2 linked regions of the Neodiprion lecontei genome follow. The protein of the gene in region 2 interacts with the protein of the main gene of each other region in a pairwise test. Links are inferred from orthologs where the notes say so. Each region holds a gene or a part of one and is shown on either strand. Other genes may lie near its edges.

Evidence for each region.
Region 1: the proteins of Golgi to ER traffic protein 4 homolog (region 2) and ATPase ASNA1 homolog interact in binary tests that used the Homo sapiens proteins (3 or more experiments, as listed by UniProt). The link is inferred for Neodiprion lecontei from reciprocal best matches to the Homo sapiens genes GET4 and GET3.

What each region holds. Positions count from the first base shown.
Region 1 is NC_060260.1:37,173,682-37,182,917, forward strand, and holds ATPase ASNA1 homolog, read left to right. Parts: upstream 1-4,791; 5' UTR 4,792-4,917; coding exon 4,918-5,036; intron 5,037-5,150; coding exon 5,151-5,359; intron 5,360-5,430; coding exon 5,431-5,536; intron 5,537-5,675; coding exon 5,676-5,826; intron 5,827-5,909; coding exon 5,910-6,218; intron 6,219-6,349; coding exon 6,350-6,469; 3' UTR 6,470-6,541; downstream 6,542-9,236. Other genes in the region: meckelin, read right to left, coding at 1-63, 181-361, 476-750, 835-1,305, 1,384-1,668, 1,787-1,952, 2,041-2,195, 2,284-2,535 and 2 more; fukutin-related protein, read left to right, coding at 7,282-7,746, 7,997-8,254, 9,054-9,236.
Region 2 is NC_060261.1:8,436,942-8,448,697, reverse strand, and holds Golgi to ER traffic protein 4 homolog, read right to left. Parts: upstream 7,575-11,756; 5' UTR 7,529-7,574; coding exon 7,416-7,528; intron 7,335-7,415; coding exon 7,256-7,334; intron 6,937-7,255; coding exon 6,702-6,936; intron 6,536-6,701; coding exon 6,397-6,535; intron 6,263-6,396; coding exon 6,122-6,262; intron 5,828-6,121; coding exon 5,578-5,827; 3' UTR 3,330-5,577; downstream 1-3,329. Other genes in the region: serine hydroxymethyltransferase, read left to right, coding at 730-926, 1,044-1,255, 1,364-1,688, 1,770-2,269, 2,396-2,562. UniProt on the Homo sapiens protein: As part of a cytosolic protein quality control complex, the BAG6/BAT3 complex, maintains misfolded and hydrophobic patches-containing proteins in a soluble state and participates in their proper delivery to the endoplasmic reticulum or alternatively can promote their sorting to the proteasome where they undergo degradation.

The sequences.
Region 1 (9,236 bases), on a different chromosome or scaffold from region 2:
TTGAATGTTTCTTTCCAAATTTGACGTTGAAATTATGTCACTTCTAAGAAATCTGCTCTCTTCCTGCAACAGAGAATATACAATGTTCTCTTTATATTAGAATTCTCCTCGAAGATTGCGATAAAACAAAATTAAAAGAAAAACAAAATTATAACATTCTGAATCCTTTATAACTCCTACCAATTTGATTGGGTTCATGATTTTATCATAAAAGTTTCTGAAAGTTGCTGACACTGATATTACAAAGCTTTGCTCTGTAGTACCGGGTAGAAGTCCTCTGTGTGCGCACAAATTTTCTTCTTCTTGTTTTAGGTCGCTGATCAAAGTAGCTAGATCAGTATCTGCAAATCCGTGGACTGATCTGAAAGTTGAATACTTTATGAAAAGTTCAGTTGCTAAATCAGAAAAATAAGTTCTAACCATCAACTTTGTATTCACACAAGTATGAATTTTGTAACAAATTGATGAACCATACCTTCCATGAATATAATATCCGTAATGGTTCTGAGAAAGAATAAATATACTGATATTTGCCATTGAACATAAGTCAATGAATTCTTTGATATGATTCTTGACGTATCTGTTATAAAATATAACCATTGTCAGCCATTGTACAAGGTATACAAACATATATACTAAGGTACCAACAGCAAATTTTAGCGTAAAGCTTTCTCTTTCCTGCAAAGTTGACTCTACAGCACGAATGCTAAGTTCTGGATCTGAACGTGCCCAGAATTTAACATTAACAACCTGTGGGAATAAAATGTTGTACATAATTTATTTAACAATTCGTGCAACAATTTTTACCAAAAAGCTCATATAAATTTTACTGACCTCTAAAATGAACAGTGTTGCAATGCCTTGTACAAGCATATTTACTTTTCTGATTGTTTGAATTTTGTACCATTCATTAGCGATGAAATAAGTTCGCCAAATACTAACTGGCAATTTTTTTTGATCGGTACGATCAGCAGTATCTCCCATAGAGAAAATATCTCCACCTGATTGATTGGGGAGATTCGAATCGTTTAAATCACTCTGAATCGAGAGTCTTGATCGCCTGCTCGGGGTATTAATGCTACTCAATTTGTGCGGTGTTTTGTTTCTACTAGCTGATATTATTTCTGATGGTGTTTTTGGTGAGCTACGTTTTTCACCAGAGAATCTATTAGCGTACAATTTCTTTAGAGATGTACGAGGTGAATCGTACTTTGGTTGGCTTTGAACAGACCTCGGTTGTTCCCAATCAATGAAAAACATGTCAATGTTTCTAATCTGATAGACGAGTCCCATTATCTCAACAAGCTGCAAACATAATTGGTGCAGTAACCTTTCAAAATTGTCAGACAGATTTGTAAAGAATGAAAATATATCATTATTCACTTTTAAAGAGAATGCAACGATCACGAATATTCTGACAGTCTCCTCGTTGGCCTCGCTCGGTAATAAAACATGCATCACGGTCTGCCCTTTAAAAAAGATGAACATGTAAGCACTGGCGCAGAAAACTACGAATATAAATACGTTTCCTAGTAAACCGCAGCAAAATATAAAAAACCAGAAAAACGTGGAGGTATTTGGAACTTCACTGCCATTTCGTTTACAATGGCTCCATGCCTTGATTGCGGCAAAAGCAACTGCTAAACTCGACAAAACGCCTGTAGACACCTGAAATGCATAAAAATTTGATCAGAAGAATGAATGATGTGCTCGAGTGATTAATTAAAGATTATTTTAGGCAAACAAAATTGTGCGTTCGTTATTACTTGAAAATAAACTTGTTTACCTCTATGGCATTGTACATGTCGTTATCTGCCAATATGTAAGTGATTTTATAGCTAATTTGCACCTCAACGTTTTGACGCACATGTTCGTTTAGCAATTCACCATATTCTATCATAAGTAACGGTGGGAATATTTTTCCCTTCTCTTCTTTATTCTGCACTTTGATTCTGAATGATTGAAAAAAATTACTCAGTATATGACAGTAAATTTTTGCAACACAGCACACACATTTTCAAAAAACGAGGCAATACTCACAAAATATTAATAGATTTAGCATATCTCACAACAGTTGGATATTCTTCTCTCTTAAAAGCAGTGCCTAACGACGTTGGCAAGGCTTTAATGCCAGCTATAGTATCAGTAAAGAAAAATCTCCTTACCAGTTGCCATCGAGAAGCATCAATTTCATCCTAAACAGTGCCGCAAAGATGAAGAAGAGACTTGGGCATTTTTTGCTGCCTTTATCCTTAATTATGAAAAATGTCTTAACCATCTCACCTTATTTGTATTTCTTATCAGAACCGGCAGTGCGTATAAAATCATTTTGTCGCCCTCTCTGTATCCAAGATATGGTTCAAAAAACTCCATTCTTATATCATTGAGTATTTTGGCAGTTGTTGCACACGACTTTTCAATATTAATACCAAATCTGATATTTTTGAACAAGTCGCAGATTAAAGTTGGTGCTGAGATCGATTGATATTGTCCATTCATTGAAAATGTGGCAAATGTAATATTCAACCTGCTACTCTGTGGTGAAATAAAAAAAAGTCATTAACGACATAGTGCCAACAAATGAGTTTTTTTTCATACAATTTCGTTTCATTCTCTACGTACATTACTCTCTACATCCAGACTATACTGCTGTGAAATTTTTTTACGATTGAGAACTGTTGGGGCTTCACCTTCTCCATAGTACAGCCATAAAGGAGAGTTATGTTTATCCCAAAATAATTTACATGGTATCAAAGATGTAAATAAAGTCAGGGTGCACATATTTGCCATATGCTCGCAAGCTGTTTTGTTTCCATTCTGAAAACAAATACAAAATTCTAGTGTGATGAATTTCAATAATTATTACAAATGAAGTTATTTATGCACCGCTGGTTCAATTTTAAATTGTTCATCTTTCGAATCTTTGGGAGAATCTTCACTCCATGCTATTGTGTGAATTTTTTCGCATTCCTCCGAGAAAGCAATACCAAGAATACCGATCAGTGAATACTTACTTTACACAGGTAAACGGCTAGTTGTAGCTCATTTCTAAAGTAATAACTGTCGATATGTTGGCTTTCGTATTTGACTAAGTACGTACTTCTCACATCAGGCCATTCCATTATCCCATTTTTCTTAATACAGTACTCTTTGATTTTCAAATGTGAAACTAATGGGCAGGGGCAATTGATGTGACTCCTGAATGATTTTTTTCTACACGGTATGCAACTCGTTCCATCTGGCGATGGATAGGAGTTCTCTGGACATGGAATGCATCTTACGTTATTCAAAAGAGTCCCATTAATGTCTCGTTCCACTAAAAATATCGACGTAATTTTATGTTCTCAATATTCAGTTGTTCTTTATACTATACACAAAGAGGTAAAACAGTTTCTCACATCTGACTTCAGTCAGCGAACATTCGCAGCTACTATTAGTACTAGCATCAGAACATGGAACGCAGTCCAGTCCGTCAATTGTGGGAATCCTGTCAGGGCCACACGGCTCACAGGTCGGATTACCATTTTCAAAATTGACAAACCTACTTTGTTTATTGCAAACACAATCAAGTCCTGTAATGGTGAATTCAAAATTTTACAACTTTTTTCAGATTCATTTATTAACTGTATTTTATACAATGAATGAGACAGGTCGAAAGTATAAGTTGGAAAAAGTTTACACATCATTTTAATTTATTGAAAGTACAAATAATTGATAGTATATAATAAAACAAAAATGAAGAAATTACACCATGCTCCCTAAAATATCAATAAATTAGGCAATAAATTAAACTTGCGGTCTTTGGAGGGTTCGAGGTTCTTCGTCGTGTCACAAGCTGTGCAAATTAATGATCCAACGTTGAAATATTCCCCTCTTTTGCACATACTAGGAGTAACGTATTGAAACAACTCCCCGTTCGGATACGTGTTTACTTGGAAAATATTTTCTAAAATAACGGAGAAAAATAAATAACGAACAAACGGATCGTGTATGAAAAACATTTTTAAACCATTCGATATGCGGGTGCGTTATGTATTGTATTGTTTACAGTCTTATACCTACCGCCCGTTTCCATGGCAACTCAGGGGATATTCGGAGAGACAAACCTGCAGGCGCGATGACGCATTTGATTTGATGAAAAAAAAAAATGCCGTGCTAAAATCGCATTCTACTTTTTAAAAAATTCACAATGTTAACATTTTGTAACTTAGACGCGTAATTTTAGTTCACGATTCAATTTGTGTTTGCAAGTGTCGCGGTTGAAACCGCATTTATTTTGATGAATATACCTGAATGATATTATAATACCTAGCTGTGTTATGTCGAATTTCGCTCAAAGTCCAGAGATGGGTCGAGTTCACAACGAACTTTAATCGTACTGTAGTGGAGGTAGATTTAGATGTATTTTCAATTTTATGATTTCAAAATGTGGAGCGAGTTTTTGGCTATCCGAGTAAAAGTCGAAATGCATTATTTTTCTTTTATTTAGTTCCAGTACAGTGTCTCAAGGAACTCAATTCGCAATCGGGACGGTCATTTTAGCCAGGGATGAATTGTAAAATATAGCGGAATTAGCTTTCGGTCAATGAATCTCACGGCTTCGTAACTCATAAAATGGAATGATACCGTCATTGTACAATGGCTAATAAGGTTTCATTCTTCAATAAAACTTGTTTGACATGAATTCAAACGCAATACAGGATTCGTAAAAGCATAGATATATTGATTGCATCATTGTTTGAGCATCTGTGTTTATCACTGTAACAGTTGAGCACAAGTTGGGAACAACTGTCATTAGCATCAGCTGTGAAAGATTGGCGCAGAGCGTGACGCTTGAGCGCAAGCAGCGAAACTGCGAAATTAGTTTGTCGTGACGGGTGACATTTCGATTTTTGAGTTAATCAGAGATTGAAAAATATGGCTGCGAATGTCGAATTTGAGCCGCTGGAAGCGTCCGTGCGAAACGTGATTGATCAACGATCGTTGAGATGGATATTCGTCGGCGGAAAAGGAGGCGTTGGGAAAACAACATGCAGGTGATGTGTACATAACCTATACATGAGGGAGAAAATATCGTAGGAAAATAGTTGTCCGGTTAAAATGACATTCATAAACCGATAATTGTATCTCTAATTCTTTTTTCAATACAGCTGCTCCTTGGCCATTCAACTAGCTAAAGTTCGCGAGAACGTCTTGATCATTTCCACAGATCCTGCGCACAACATCTCAGATGCGTTTGATCAGAAATTCAGCAAAGTACCCACTAAAGTAAAAGGATTTGATAATCTATTTGCCATGGAAATTGACCCCAATGTTGGTATCACAGAACTGCCTGAAGAATATTTTGAAGGCGAAGCCGGTTAGTCAATATCGGAATTATTTTGAAAATGGAATATATTCAACTGAATTTACCTTCTCAACAATTTTTAGGAGTCATAGGAGGAGAAGCGATACGTTTGAGCAGAAGCGTGATGCAGGAGATAGTCGGCGCCTTTCCTGGAATAGATGAAGCTATGAGCTACGCCGAAGTAATGAAGTGAGTAAACTTTTTTAACTCCAAGTCTCAAAATATGTCGAAGTAATTATTGTAGAAAGTCAAATGTTTTCTACACAATCGACAAATCGTGTATGGTGACAAGAAATCATTGCTTTAATTTTGTTCATACCTTTTTCAGGCTTGTGAAAGCAATGAACTTTTCGGTTGTTGTATTTGATACGGCGCCAACCGGTCACACTCTGAGGTTGTTGTCCTTTCCACAAGTTGTAGAGAAGGGTTTAGGAAAATTAATGAGACTGAAAATGAAAATCAGTCCCTTCATATCTCAGGTATGTGCAATAGAAATCAATTATCGTGTTCAATCATACAGCTAAACAGATCATCTTAATAAAATGGACTTAACTTTTTACAGATAGGTTCATTGTTGGGTATGTCGGATATCAACGTCGATACATTTTCAAATAAAATGGAAGAAATGCTGGCAGTGATTCGTCAAGTGAACGACCAATTCCGGGACCCAGAACAAACAACTTTCATCTGTGTTTGTATAGCCGAATTTTTGTCCCTCTATGAAACGGAAAGACTAGTTCAAGAGTTAACAAAATGCGGCATTGACACTCACAACGTTATTGTAAACCAATTGTTATTCCTAAAAGAAGGCGATGTGCCTTGCAGACTCTGCCAAGCCAGGCACAAAATTCAGGATAAGCATTTAGATCAGGTAATTCGTTGACCTCTCGTCGTATCATTTTTCCAATTTATAATTTCTATAGCGTATAATTGGAAAAATTCGTTTCAATATTTTTTCATACTTTTAACTACTTTGATCTAACTACTCTCGTCGATTCAAAGATTACAGATTTGTACGAGGACTTCCACGTGACGAAACTGCCATTGCTGGAACGCGAAGTTCGCGGAGTTCAGCATATAAAAGAATTTTCCGAGAACTTGGTGAAACCGTACAAGCCATAACATTAACATTTTTAAAAATTCATTATATTTTCCTCTACAGCCAACTGTAAAATAAAGATTACTGAAAAAATATTCTATATTGAATGCATTTAATATCTATTGGCCGTAGTCCTTGTACTATGTACTATCAGGTTTTCCACCAGTGTCATGGAGTAACAGATACCCTAATTTAAAAATTGATCTTTTAATACAAACGTGTAACAATACCTTACATGTTTATGTATAAGGTGCATAAGTATGGCTGTAACTTGACCTCGTCTGAAGAATATTAAAAACGGCAACCATAATGCGGTTTTGTGTGCCTAATGGCACGGAGTAATTGACGGCTCCTTTCGGTAAAGAAGCTACCTGATCGCCAAATTACCCATTGAGTACTTTGCACGAAAATATGCCCAGGGGTACGAATTTGGCAATAATAATTCTGCGCGAAAAATGTCTCGTACACATTGCTTGTACCGTTGACTGAAGATTATCCTCAGTCAACGCTCGTACGTGTTGTAAAAATGTTTCTTTTTTCGTTAAAAACAGTACCCCAGTGATTAATCGAACACTTTTTCATACGGTTCGTTTTTGAAGTAATAAATGTATTCGTAAATCACGTCGTCAAAAACAAGTTTCATCAATCAATTCTCACATTGTAAAGTAGTCAAAGTTGAAAATCCGCGCCAAGGACTAGCGAGTCCCGGCAAAGCATGACCGTTAATGTTGCGTCGTCTGTTGGTTGTTATCGTTGATACGAAAACGAAGCGACCTGTCAAATATCCGTTCTAATCATGGAATTGTTGAGTAAATCGAGTTTTTCTTAGTAAAATATGCGTCTCAAACTGGTTAAAATATTACTGGTGCTCGCGTTGGTTGGTAATATAGTCGTGTGGCATAGAATATGGAGATTATTCGCGGCTCCGAGCGTCTCTCTGACGGCGACGCCGGCCGCCTCGACGGTCGAAACATCCCAAAAGGTTCATCGAGGTTTAGCGCGGTCAGTGACGATTGTTATCCGTCAATTTGAAACATTCGAAAATGACGTCTCTGCCACGGTCGAGTCCGTGATGACCGCCTTTCCGTTAATTCCCATTTTGATAATATGCGACCAGCTTCCCTATCCGCCGCTGGAACTGGACTTCAAAAATAATACAATGCGATACGTGAAGCTAATCAATCTCCAACTCAATTTTAACAAGTCCTTCGACGAAAGGAATCCCCTCTTTTTCATCAGAACAAAATTCGTTCTATTCCTTCCCGATGCTACCAGATTGAGCACCAAACAAGTATTGCAGGTACGCTTCTCGAGTTGTTACTTACTTTACTAAACTCAGTAAGAAAAATCATCGAAGTGTGCGCAAACTTAGATGAGTGAACTTGAGTATAAACTTCTGTGATGTTTGTCTCATATTTTAATACTATTTATCACGTCCCATAAATTTTATTCCATTCATGATTTTATGATGTCCAACTGTTTCAACAGCTAATAATTTTTTACCTCTATTATGCGATGATTACATAAGTTGAACATTTTCACTGTTCCAGAGTATGATTATCCAGGCGTCAAAGTTGGGGGCTGTTTCGGTGCCAGTCGGTGCCAATCCTTTAAGTTGCATTGGGATGGCACTGCGAGTAAAAGAGTGGAGCCTAGAAATGTCGAATATCGACGGATCCACGTGTGATTCTATAATCGGACGTCACGGTACTATGATTGAAGCTAGAACGTTGAGGAAATTATCCGATCCATTCATTCTGCCATTCACAGATGCTTTCTACATCCAGACTACGGCGTTGGGAGCTAAGGTATGCGATTCTATGACTTTTACAATTATCAAACATGTTGAGTATTGTAATATTTAACCAACATTATTTTTTCTCTGATCACTAAAAGCGTAGGAAATTCTTTCCCACCTAGCATCTAGCGGTACTACATGTAGTTATGGATATTTACATAGACTGACGATTTCATTGCTTATACCGTAATAGCTGATGAAATTACTACGATAATAGTTGAATGCAAAATTGCCTGCAGTATCTTCCCTTACCAAATGTAATCTACATCACGCCCAATGTAATAATTATTTTTAGCCACGTACATCGTAATATAGTCGGAAATGTTGCGGTTTATTTTTAGTGTTACATCGATTTTTGTTATCTATTTGGACGCTACACATTCTCGGTATGTGCTTGTTATGCATGTATTTAGATTCAGAGCTTGCTTTCTGGTAAGTACAACCATTATATTATTTTAATTCACCTACGTAATATACATTATGTTCTGAATTGATGAAATTCTTATCACCAACACCAAAGAAATTTGGTATCGATATGGTGAGAATATATCGTTTGGTTTTCATCTAAACTTGATTCTTAACAGATAGATCTGTTCGTACTCTTTCAGAACAGGAACATGTGGAGCTTCTTACCTCTAGCAGGAGTAGCAGGTCACTTTTCTCACTTGTACTCTTTATTGGAGTAATTTGATTTAATGCCCTTGAGATTTTTTCGAAATCAATAAGATGAAAGGGGCCAGTTTGATGTGAGAAGCTTCACATGCTTCATGTATTGCACTGAAATTCTGGAATGTGCCTTCTTTTCTCAGGTGCATATAATGAACGATCATCATTTCAACGAAGGGAAGCCACTATTTCGTAGCCATCAAGCACAGTGGAAGGTGGAGCAGTTATCTCGAAGTCGAGAACGTGAAATGTTCGAGAAATTAGGGATAAAAAAAGTGACGCGCGTATCCGGGTCTGTCGAATGGTACGGCTGTTCTCGAGAGACC
Region 2 (11,756 bases):
GTGTGACAGCGATGTGAACTTATCTTTAAGACGGTCAGTGTGACGAAATAATTGTTTTTAACGCGCTCGTTTGCGATTATGTGTGTTTTCGAAAGTGCAACAACAATAATCGGTTATTGTGCAAACTTTGATAAGGGCGTCTCTGCGATAATCATTATACCTATATGTATTATAATTATGATTATTTGCGCAAAACAAATGTCGAAAGTTGTGCTAACGTGAGTTATTACATGTGTGACGCTTGTTTGCGCTCTGTTCCGATTTTACATTCTCACTATCGGCGATAAAACTCGCGCGTAATCTTACGTTTAAGTTTCACGTAAGAAGATTTCACATATTCACGACCTCTTCGTGTCGCTTGGAGAGTTGGGGTTATCTCACTTGAACTCCATCAGTTTCCCTTAACTAGGCATTATAATACAACGGGTACCGCAAATTTCCTACCATTTAGCAATCAATCTTTGACGAATATCGCACGTTACTGGCACGTTTTTTTTTCGCTACATAACTACTTCCATATTTTTTTCCGTTCGAAGCACGTGTCCGTACGCAGCAAGACGTGTGAAAAGCAACAGGTTATTGTTCATTTCGTGATATTCTTTGACGGAAATTAAATGTGATCAATTAAATTTTCATGTGCAAGTTATAATGTCATTTGAACGAAAAGGAAAGAAAAAATTATGAAACTTGTTTTTTCATTTCTATTAAATCTGAGAATTTCATTTCTAGGACAATATGTCGAGCACTATTCACAAAAACTTATGGGACACGGATTACGAGCTGTTCGATTTAATGAAAAAGGAGAAAAAGCGACAAGAGTGTGGGCTGGAAATGATTGCGAGTGAAAATTTTACCTCTCTTAGCGTACTCCAATGCCTCGGATCTTGCCTAGGAAATAAATACAGCGAAGGTCTTCCGGGACAGAGGTGAATAAATTAATTTGACTTCCAAATTCTCCTCTTTTGTACCTGGAACTATGTGAAATCGTTAGAACATAATTTTATTTTCTTCAATTGTACACTAATAATTTTTCACTTTTTCAGATATTACGGTGGAAACGAATTCATTGATCAAATTGAATTACTTGCTCAAAAACGTGCCTTAGAAGCTTACAATCTAAATCCAGAAGAATGGGGATGCAATGTTCAACCGTACTCCGGCAGTCCGGCCAATTTTGCTGTCTACACTGGTCTGGTTGAACCCCATGGGCGTATAATGGGTCTAGATCTCCCCGACGGAGGGCATCTAACACATGGTTAACAAAAATTCCTTAAACGTATTTATGAGGAGCAGTAATTTTCTGTTATAAAGAAAAATTTTACATTACCATTTTATTTATAAATCTACCTTCAATGTTTCATAGGATTTTTCACCGAAACCAAGAAAATCTCTGCAACATCGATATTCTTTGAGTCGATGCCTTACAAGGTGAATCCTGAAACAGGATACATAGACTACGATAAACTTGAAGAGACTGCAAGATTGTTCAAGCCAAAGATAATTATAGCCGGTATATCGTGCTATAGCAGGTGTTTGGACTATAAACGTTTTAGGGAAATTGCTGATCAACATGGAGCGTATCTCTTCAGCGATATGTCGCATATTTCTGGGCTTGTTGCTGCAGGTGTTATTCCTAGCCCGTTTGAATACAGCGATGTTGTTTCTACTACAACTCATAAGACGCTCAGGTACAGCAATTAAATTGTTGTAAACAAATTTTAACATTTGTATAAATCAGACAGTCAGATATAATGTTTATTTAATTACAGAGGGCCACGTGCCGGTGTAATTTTCTTCCGGAAAGGCGTTAGAAGTACAAATAAGAAGGGTGAAAAGATTTTGTATGATCTGGAGACCAGAATAAATCAGGCTGTGTTTCCCGGCCTGCAAGGTGGCCCACATAATCATCAAATTGCTGCCATTGCCACAACAATGAAACAGGCTAAGTCTCCCGAGTTCATTGCTTATCAAAAACAAGTATTAGCTAATGCAAAAAGACTCTCGGACAGTCTTCAAAAACTTGGTTACAAAATTAGCAGTGGTGGCACCGACGTGCATCTCATCTTAGTTGATCTGAGTTCCACTGGTATCAGCGGAGCCAAAGCTGAGAGGATACTAGAAGATATTGGAATCGCATGCAACAAAAATACAGTTCCTGGGGATAAAAGTGCATTGAATCCAAACGGTATCAGGCTTGGAACACCGGCTTTGACTACTAGGGGTTTCAAGGAAGCTGAAATTGATAAAGCTGTTAATTTCATTCATTCAGGTAAGTTCTATCAGTTTCACTATCACTTACGTTTGAATTTGAGTTAGCTTGGCGAAGCGTTCAAAGTTATGCTCCAGCTTTGACAATATCGACTCACAGGCTGTTAATACTATTTCCCATTTTCAGGTATAGAACTGGCTAAAGAAGTCACGGCTATATCTGGACTTAAGCTCCCGGAATTTAAAAGGGTATTAGATACTGATGTGGCAATAAAGGTAAAGGTCCAAGCACTTCGTACAGAAGTAGAAAAATTTGCCTCACAATTCCCCATGCCAGGTCTGAAAGAGTATTAAACATGTGTATCCAAAAGAGATACAGCTAGATAGATTTCTACTAACAAGAAAGATCAGTTCGGTGTCCGCCTCCGATTTAGTTACAACTCATGTATATTTGTAGAACATTAAAAAAGGTTTCATTCATGAATAGGAACATTTCAGCATTGGTTTCATTCAAACACATCGTGTACATCAAGAAATTACCATGTTGGGTTTCCATCTTTGGGGATCGTTTTCATCCCTTCAAACCGTTTTTCCGCTGATAAAACAAAGGTGTGTTTTAGTTTTCAATGTTCTACAACATACACGAGTTGCATCAAATTCGAAGGGGGATATCAAATTGGTTCCTGGTAAGATATATCATTTACAATGATTAATACTAAATGATAATATAATTGGAAAATATTTTCGTTTGAGAAAAGAGCAGGTTGGAATATAGATCTACGTCTCATAATTTTAATATTGAGTCATGTTCAATATAACGTACATAAAAATTTTTCCATATTGTAACTCCCGCTCAATCATACTAGAAAGACTTACAATCAAGCAGTGAGCTACTTTTAAAAAAATCGAGGTTTGCTTTGATAGATATAATTCCGTAGTTTTCCTATACATACAATAGTGGTCTAAATTATATTTTTATTTCTTTGTATAAAAATCAAAATCATTTCCCAAACCTGTGCAGTAACGTTACCTACAATTATAATATCACCAATTATTTTATAAGAAATTAACGTTATTTACCTTCTGTATCTATCATGTAGGACTAGTTTTTTTTTTTTTTGGAATAACATTTAAGAGTTAATATTTTATAGTTAAAACTTATGTATGCATTAAAATTGTAAAGGATTGCGAAGAAGGAATTGTTTTTATTGAAATTGCATGTAAATGGCTTACGAGATAAAAAGTATTTAATATCCGAGCTAAAAATCCTCGATAAAAGTCTCATGTTTATATTTTTTATACTGAAAAATAAAATACACAAATAAAAACCACCTGTTAGTATTTTACAGTTTTTTAAGGTTAATAACGAATTCTGTATGTGAAAAGATAGTGGATTATCATTTTGTATTTTTATTTTTAATATGTTAAGGATCTAGAATTTGTTTTTCCTCAATTAAATAGATTATTATGCCACTGTCGGAGATTAATTTTAATTCACGTAATAAAGCATTATAGTATTTCATACTAAATATTAACTGTTGCGTAATTGAGCTTTTGCTACACGCTATACTACTGTAAAATATATTTGCTCGTATCTCTTAACACTGTTTTAACTTACTTTGGAAAGATTCTCAGCCTGTACATTGATTGCTCAAATGATGTGTTATCTAAAATTTGTTTTACAAATTACATAGATGCTTTTTTAAGCATTCTTCTACTGCGCCCTAAAATTGTTAATATTTCGATAAACCAGAAGTTAATACAAACTCGTAAATATCGGATTCGTTTCAATGCGTAAATTAATATAATTTTAAATCCTATCATATGACAGAAACAGCATCAGCAATCGATAGATCAGAAAAAAGACTAATTATTTTCATGAAGTAAAAGATTGGAAGTAAATCGAAAAAGTCGAACAAGTAAAGTGGACCTTGTTCGCACTAATAAAAATCTATATACACAATACCAGTCAAGTATTCATAAAATTACATGCTATATTGAATAAGAGACGAGATGAAAAAAATTTGCCATTGAAAGGTATGTACTGCAATAATTATTACTTTTGTACATTATTTAAGTTGACTCATAGTTTGACATCTTACAGCTTACTAAAATTGATAATAATATACAATGTCTAAAATAGTCAATATTCTGACGTCGGATGTGTGAACTAGCCTTGTACTTTGATTTTGACGTTTCTTTACATTATTCGTTAGTAGATGAATATTATTCAGCTTTGTCACGTGTCTTCACTTTAACTAATCACATGTGGTATTAGTGCAGTTTATATTTTTAAGAAAAAATTATTATGCTAAATATTTTTTCCTTTTATTTCTCACATTATTCAGAGTATACAAAATAACACTTTAAACCGATCGTATCACTTCCAAAATGTACACGGTTATTACTATAAGTTTTCTTTAGAGCCAGATTTCAAAAAGGGCACATTAGATATTATATGCTTTGCCTCCTGAATGTGGAATATCGAGTTTTAGAATAACTATCTCATTTTAAATCGCTTAGTTTCGCGTATTTATAAGCTAATTTGTTAGCACACTGTTTAGTATAAAAAAAAACCTAAAAATCTCACATGTTTGTCAATAGATTATTAGAAACGTAAACGGCGAAAAATAAAGTAAAATAAAGTCATACAAACTGAATGGGCATCGACCATGAATTTATGTTTTTTATATATATTATTATTTTGAAGAATTGAAATTTACGCAAAAATAAATAAAATTCTGTACACTGCTTCTACAATCCATATAGGTACAATGATGAATACGTAAGAATGCATATTCAGATATAAATAAATCTCTAAATGTAAGCATTTTACAACCCTTCGAATGTTCATCAATATGTACCTATGTATATTATTATATATTTATATATCTTAGAGTGGGTTCTTATTTGGGGGTCTGAAATATTTTCATTGCAATGCCCCCCAGACCTGTTCCAAATCATATAAAAAATTTGTGTAGTTTCAAGCCGTTACATCACTGATACACGTGCCTCTGCGAGTTTGGGTTTTCCCATTCAGGTAAAAAAAAACGTATCCTTTCTTAATTTTTAAGTTGTTTTAGTTGCAGTGGCTTGAAAATTTACAGATTTTTTTAAAATGATTGTGAACAGGTCTGCGGAGCGTTGCAGCAAAACTTTTATCGACTTCCAAACAAGGACCACCCTAATATATATAAGTATTTGAATGGATGAAGAATGCTAAAAATGAGAACAATAAACTGCTACATTACGCTAGATTTAATATGTATATGTATGTATACCCACTTCAGCAGACCCTTATGGCATCTCAAATCTCTGTAAGCTCTTTTAGTTCATCTCATACAAAGCTTAAAAACATTCCCTTTCCAATTAGTCTAATTCTTGTGCCACGTGCGATGTCGTAGGAGCATTTCGCTGATCATCGTCTGAATCTTCTTCTTCCAGACCGTTGAAAAACGATTGTAACAGTGAACCAAATAATCCTTGACTTGGTGCCCGTGGCGGTGATACATTAAAGAACACTTGACCTATTTTATCCAAGTATTGTCTATAGAGCGGGTCTCTGTTCAGGCTTAACTGGTACTGCTCACACAAAACTGTGAAAGCGGCCAGCTTACCACTGTATTTACAAAAATTTTAAAAAGTTAAAATGTTTTTGATTTCTGGTGAATATGTTGAAATCTTTTAACTGCCTATAGTCATTCATAGCATTAACAATCAAAAATTCTCATAATATCTTGAAAGACAGCAAGTGAAATTTGTAAATTTAAAATGAGACCAAGTATTTCAAAGGCAAGAATATCCAATACAATTGTTACGATATTGCTGGATTATTGTGATGAGGAATGTATCATGTTAGTGTATGATTAACTATATTGCTAATTTATTAATATAACATGTCAGCAAAACTTACGTTTCAATGGTTTTCAGTAAGAAGAATAAAAAATTCAACAACGGCAGAAAGTACGGTGGACCACTATTTATTTTTGGGTGTTTCAAAGTATATGAATGAAACGCTTCTTCTGCTGTGGTTTTATTTCTCAAACATAAGTACCTGGAAATCAATGAAGTACAATATAATAAGAGCGTAACAATTCTTTTACTATTTTATAATGTACATGTGAGCAAACAATTCGGGTATCTTTTACAAAACTCTTGTATGAAGTATAATTTCACTCAATGACTTACTGTAAGACGGCTTGCACAATGAAAAGATCTATTTCACTCGAGTATCCACGCTCTTCGTGAAGTTCAACAAGCATCGCAGCACAACCAGATCCATCACTACTATATAAAAAGTGTTGCCTGGCCATTATGTAGTTTTTCTCTGTATTTAAAAAGATATAAATATGATATGAGAGATTGACTGCGAGAGCTTCTATGCACAATGAAGTAGCGGTATAGTTTCACAATGTACAATTTCAATGAATCTGTCTATCTGTTATGAAAGAAATATTTAATACACAGATCTGATTCTTATCACTTGAGTATACCTTTCCAGAATACTTGTGCTATTCGCTGATGAAAATCAGGGTGACCCGTTTTATAATCGGACCCCTTTAAGCTCCACCTTAGCGCTTCTAAAAGAAACGTTTCCCTTTCTGGTGCTGTAGGGTTCATCAAGCTGAATAAATTCGTCAGTTTTTCGAAATATACTTGCGAAGGCTCAGTTTCTGACTTGACTAGAGCATCGACAAATAATGTTCCAAGATCAGCGCCACTTGCTTGCTGAAAGAAAAATTAAACAATCAGTGTTGCTCATGTTCTTAAATATGTAATGCATGCCTGTCGTAGATTAAATATATGGGAATTGCAGAATAAATGTGAAAATCATTCAAGCATTTATTTTGCATATCTGCTACAGCAATGCTACTTCATAACTTTGGTAACATTTGGAAATCCAATGCAAGAGATGGCAAGACTTCTACCACTTGTGACTAATCACTGAATGCTCCAATGAACATTCAACATACATGCATATGCAAATGTTAAAATTTGGAAGGCACTTTGTATTGATGCAAATACATTAAAGTAGATAAATTAGTACCTGATCATGTTGTAGGAGTAACGTTGATCCATTGTACAGTAATTCCAGTAATTCCGAATACTTTCTTTGTCCAAGGTACCTAAAGAGAGGTTAAGTTGCAATTACGTAGCACTTGAAAGTGGTTAGAATATATAAACTATATGAATAATTGTCGGCTTACCTAAAGTGCAAAGTCCTGTACATCTGATGTGCTTCATAATAGTTTCCGGAGTTGACAGACGCTTCTAATTTGGCTAAAACTCTCAGAACACCGAGACTGCCTCGGGAGGCCATGTTTATGCTAGTTAGGGACTTTTTTCAATTGAGTCTCGAGTCGAGTTATGTTGGTAACATTGGAATTATGACTCAGGACTACTCATGATGAACAATTGCCGCGGCAAAATCACTAGGCAAAACGTCGGTATGACGGAATAATTTTTGTATAAAAATTTGAATCATTCGCCCATGTTACTCGTGAATTATGTTGACCAAATCACTAATTGACGAATTAAAAAATACTGCAAGATCACTTGGCAATTGTTGCGGAGTATTTGTTTTTGTTTCAGTGGCATAATTGTATAGAATCACTTTCTGGCGCAAGAAAAGCCGATATTTCAAACATTGATAGAGATCGGTAAACAGATTTAACAAGGTAATTGTTTAGAAAATTGGGGTTTATAAAACCACTTTACACATTTATACTGTACTATGTTAAAATACTTTGGCCAGAGATTAGGAGACAATTGAAATTGCATATATTACAGTAAACCGTAGTTCAGATATTAGCTCATATGTATAGTCTAGACATCACACCAGCAAGCGTAATAACGAATTGATGATGTCAATTTTTTAAAGAGTTTCATTTGAAAATAATTCAAATAAATTGAATTCCGTTATTGAATCACCTAATTTTTATACAACCGAAAGCCGAATAAAATATAAATAAATATATAAGCCATTAGCAAATTCATTTTCATTTCAAACACAATCTCAAAGAGTCAAGAAATGATTATCATTACATTGTACCAAGTTATTGATTCGAACAACTTCTTACATACCTAATATTTTATATCGTCGACTTAAACTCATCTTTTTCTTCCGTAACATCAGATCGTTGATCAGAATTAGGAGCGCTAATATTAAATGAGTCAGAACGACACGCAGTGAAAACTAGTTGAAACTAGTGCGGGGTCTATAAATATGATTACACTTCACATATCACATGATTTATGAATATAAAAGATAAAATCAACATAACAGGGGCTTGATATTAAATTTCTAGAATTAAAGAGGCTGTCTCCATGTACAATATTTATTGGGAATATGAAAATGTCTTCAAAATTTTCGTATTTATGCTGTTTCAATGAGGAAACACTGCGCATTTGATAAACAATTTATGCACATTTTTATAATAATATAAGTCATTTCATTCACCTCACTACAAGGTTTAAGTCTGATTAGATTTTTTTTATTCGTAAAAAAAGGCAGACAGTGCTAATACAAGATTATTAAACGTACAAGGTTGTCACCGTCAAAATAGTAATTTTAATTTAAAAACATCTGGTCGCTATGGGAATTATCAAATCGCATACAGTGCTTGATATTACTTTAAAACCATCCTCGTCCATTTTGGCGTCGGTTTCTAAAGCATTTTCATTTCTACAGTTTCAAAATTTACTATCACCGATACAAGTTCATTTTAAAATGATGAAACAACCTTTCCCGCGTCTAGTAATCTTGTTTCATGTGTCTCATTAATTTCCGTGTTCTTTTATTCTTGAAATTTTATACCTATATCTTAAAATTTAACTTTTTAAAATATTTTTTAAGACTCATTTCATTTACTTTGAATTCAATCATTTCTTGACATGGTGTTTGATAACAATCGAAATCGATTGTTTTCAAGAATTGATTTGACAACTTATATGTTACAGTTAAATTGCAATGTAAATACTCATGAGCAAATGATAATTTCTTCAAAATTCATATCCAAGATGATAATTAGGAAGCTAATAGCCGGTTTAGTTCGTATTAAAGGCTATAGTTGATTTTTCACATCTCATGCATAATAGCGAAATTATGTTTAGTCCTTTATCAATCGTTTCTCCGTAAAGATATGAATGAGGCGTTCAACTTTACAGTGCAACTAAATTAAACGGACCGCTTGATTATTTATTGGACGATTGGCACGAAACAGACTTGACGCTGTCCGCACGTGTTTATGTACATGTTTAATATAACTATGTAACCATATACAACCATGTACAAGATTTCAAATCTTCCATCACGGTGTTTTATTAGGCAATACTTTATAAACTTCGCTCTGTGACTGCAATGACTTCCTTTCACAAAAATTTGAACGAAATTTATTCTTTTACATGCATTTTTACTGTTAAAAGAATAATTATCGTGCACAATTAAGAGTAGCATCCTCGTAAATCGATTGAATATATTATTATGTACCATTCTATCATTCATTAAATAACACGTAATTGAAAAGAAAATTTTTCCTTTTCTCCCACATGATTTTGAACAGTTTTCCAAATTTTATTATATAAGGTATAAGTAATAAGTAGGATGAGCGCTGAATACCAGTGAGAAAAATGAAGCAGTTTTATGATTGCAGGCTTTCAGACCTTACTATTAAAAAAATAATTCTATTTCTATCTTTGAAAGCAATGACACCGTTTTGCATATTTCAAAAATAATTTATTTGTACTTATGCTATCTAGGTTTTTCTCATAGTTTTCAATACTTTGAGTAGAAACTACTTCTCTATGTCTCAAGAAAAAATTATCCTACTTCGATATACATCAAATAGGATTGTACGAATCACACATTTTTACATTTTATATTTCCCCCTATACCAAAGGACAACAATTTGTACATCGTATTGAATGAAATTGAGAACAGCATGAAAATGGTTCGCTGGAGGAGAACCCTCGATTTCTTTTAAACAATATTCGTAATTACGGTTATGAGAACTTTCTAAAGCACGTCATATTGTCTGGTAAATTTCCAACTATTGATGAAGAATTCATATTGCTAATTAAGCGCTAAACACTGAATACTTTTTGATATTAAAATTTCACAGAACTTCATTGTGTTAATTTTTTTCATCAAGTTTTCAGCACTCTTCCCTGTTTTTCATAATTTTAGGCCCTCGCAAAGATAGCTTTAAAATGGTTAAAAGCCAAGCCTTTTCAGTAAAAACCAAACCGGCTGACTTGATTGAATAAGTAAATATTGATGGCGCAGCAATATATAAAAATATCAATGTATCCCACACTACAGCATGAGCTAAGGCTCTTAATATCTATTATTCTTCTGTAGTTTGCTCACCTCCTTATACTTCGTTTGTGTTTATATTATTGGTAGTTTTTATATTAATAATTAATATTAGTTCAATCCATAATAATATTTAATAATAACAATACGGACATTGCCGGTTCTTATATTTTACAATTATTCTTCTCTTCACCGTGTGATTGTTTCACTGAAGCTACAAAAATCACGTTTCCATGAATTCGCCTAGCTATGTATGTGCCGATGGTGACAAGCTCTTTAATAAAATTCGCAAATAGATTATAAAAAAAAAAAAGTACGAAATATGAAGTAAAATGGAAAACGAAAATGTCAACGATTATTATATTCAATACACTATAAAGTTCTGTACTTATGAGCGTTACAGACTTCGTGTTTTTTTCTTTCTTTCTTTTTTTTTTTTCTTGGAAGACGAGATGACAACCAGTATTTTAGTGTATTGTATCAGAGCAAGAGTAGAGTAACTAACTTCTTTCTATCGATATACCTTACACATGAATAGGAATATTCGATGCTTTTTTAGATTTACAAACTGATTTTTCATCCCTGTCTGGTATTGTCACAACTTCAGCCGTGATCTGATAATTGTCATAAATACTTCTGCAATCAATTTTTAGGGCACAATGTGGCTGGTTTGATATTTTTTTTATAAAGAAATCAAAAGATATTCATATCAATTGTCTTCTTATAGACTACATTCTTCAAAAAATCTATGTAAATTAATTTACTCTCCCTGTGTTCTATCACAGAAAGTTTTCACGTATTATTTTTTCTTTTTCTTTTTTCTCTTTCTAATGAACATAAAGATGCTCCAAAGTACAGAACATACAGTGAAAATTATTACAAATAAACAGTTTCGTAGTAAATTAGTATTTTAATGAGAATAAAATAAGAAACAGTACAATATTGATTTAATAATTATAAATTGTTGTGGAACACTATCTATTTGCTTTACTCAATATGTTTCATCTATTACCCATCAATTCAATGATAATAATAATAATAATAATCATAATTAGCGTTAATGCTATCCATTATCATTTTTCACATAGCTCCGTAGAACAAAAATATCGCCCTCAGTTTATATTGAAAAAGCCTTTTTGTATACCCTCCTCCCCTACCCCCTTGCCATTAAAATATTTCAACGACAACGAAATCCTGAAAAGATTTTTTTTTCGTCTCCTTTAGGGCAGGGGGT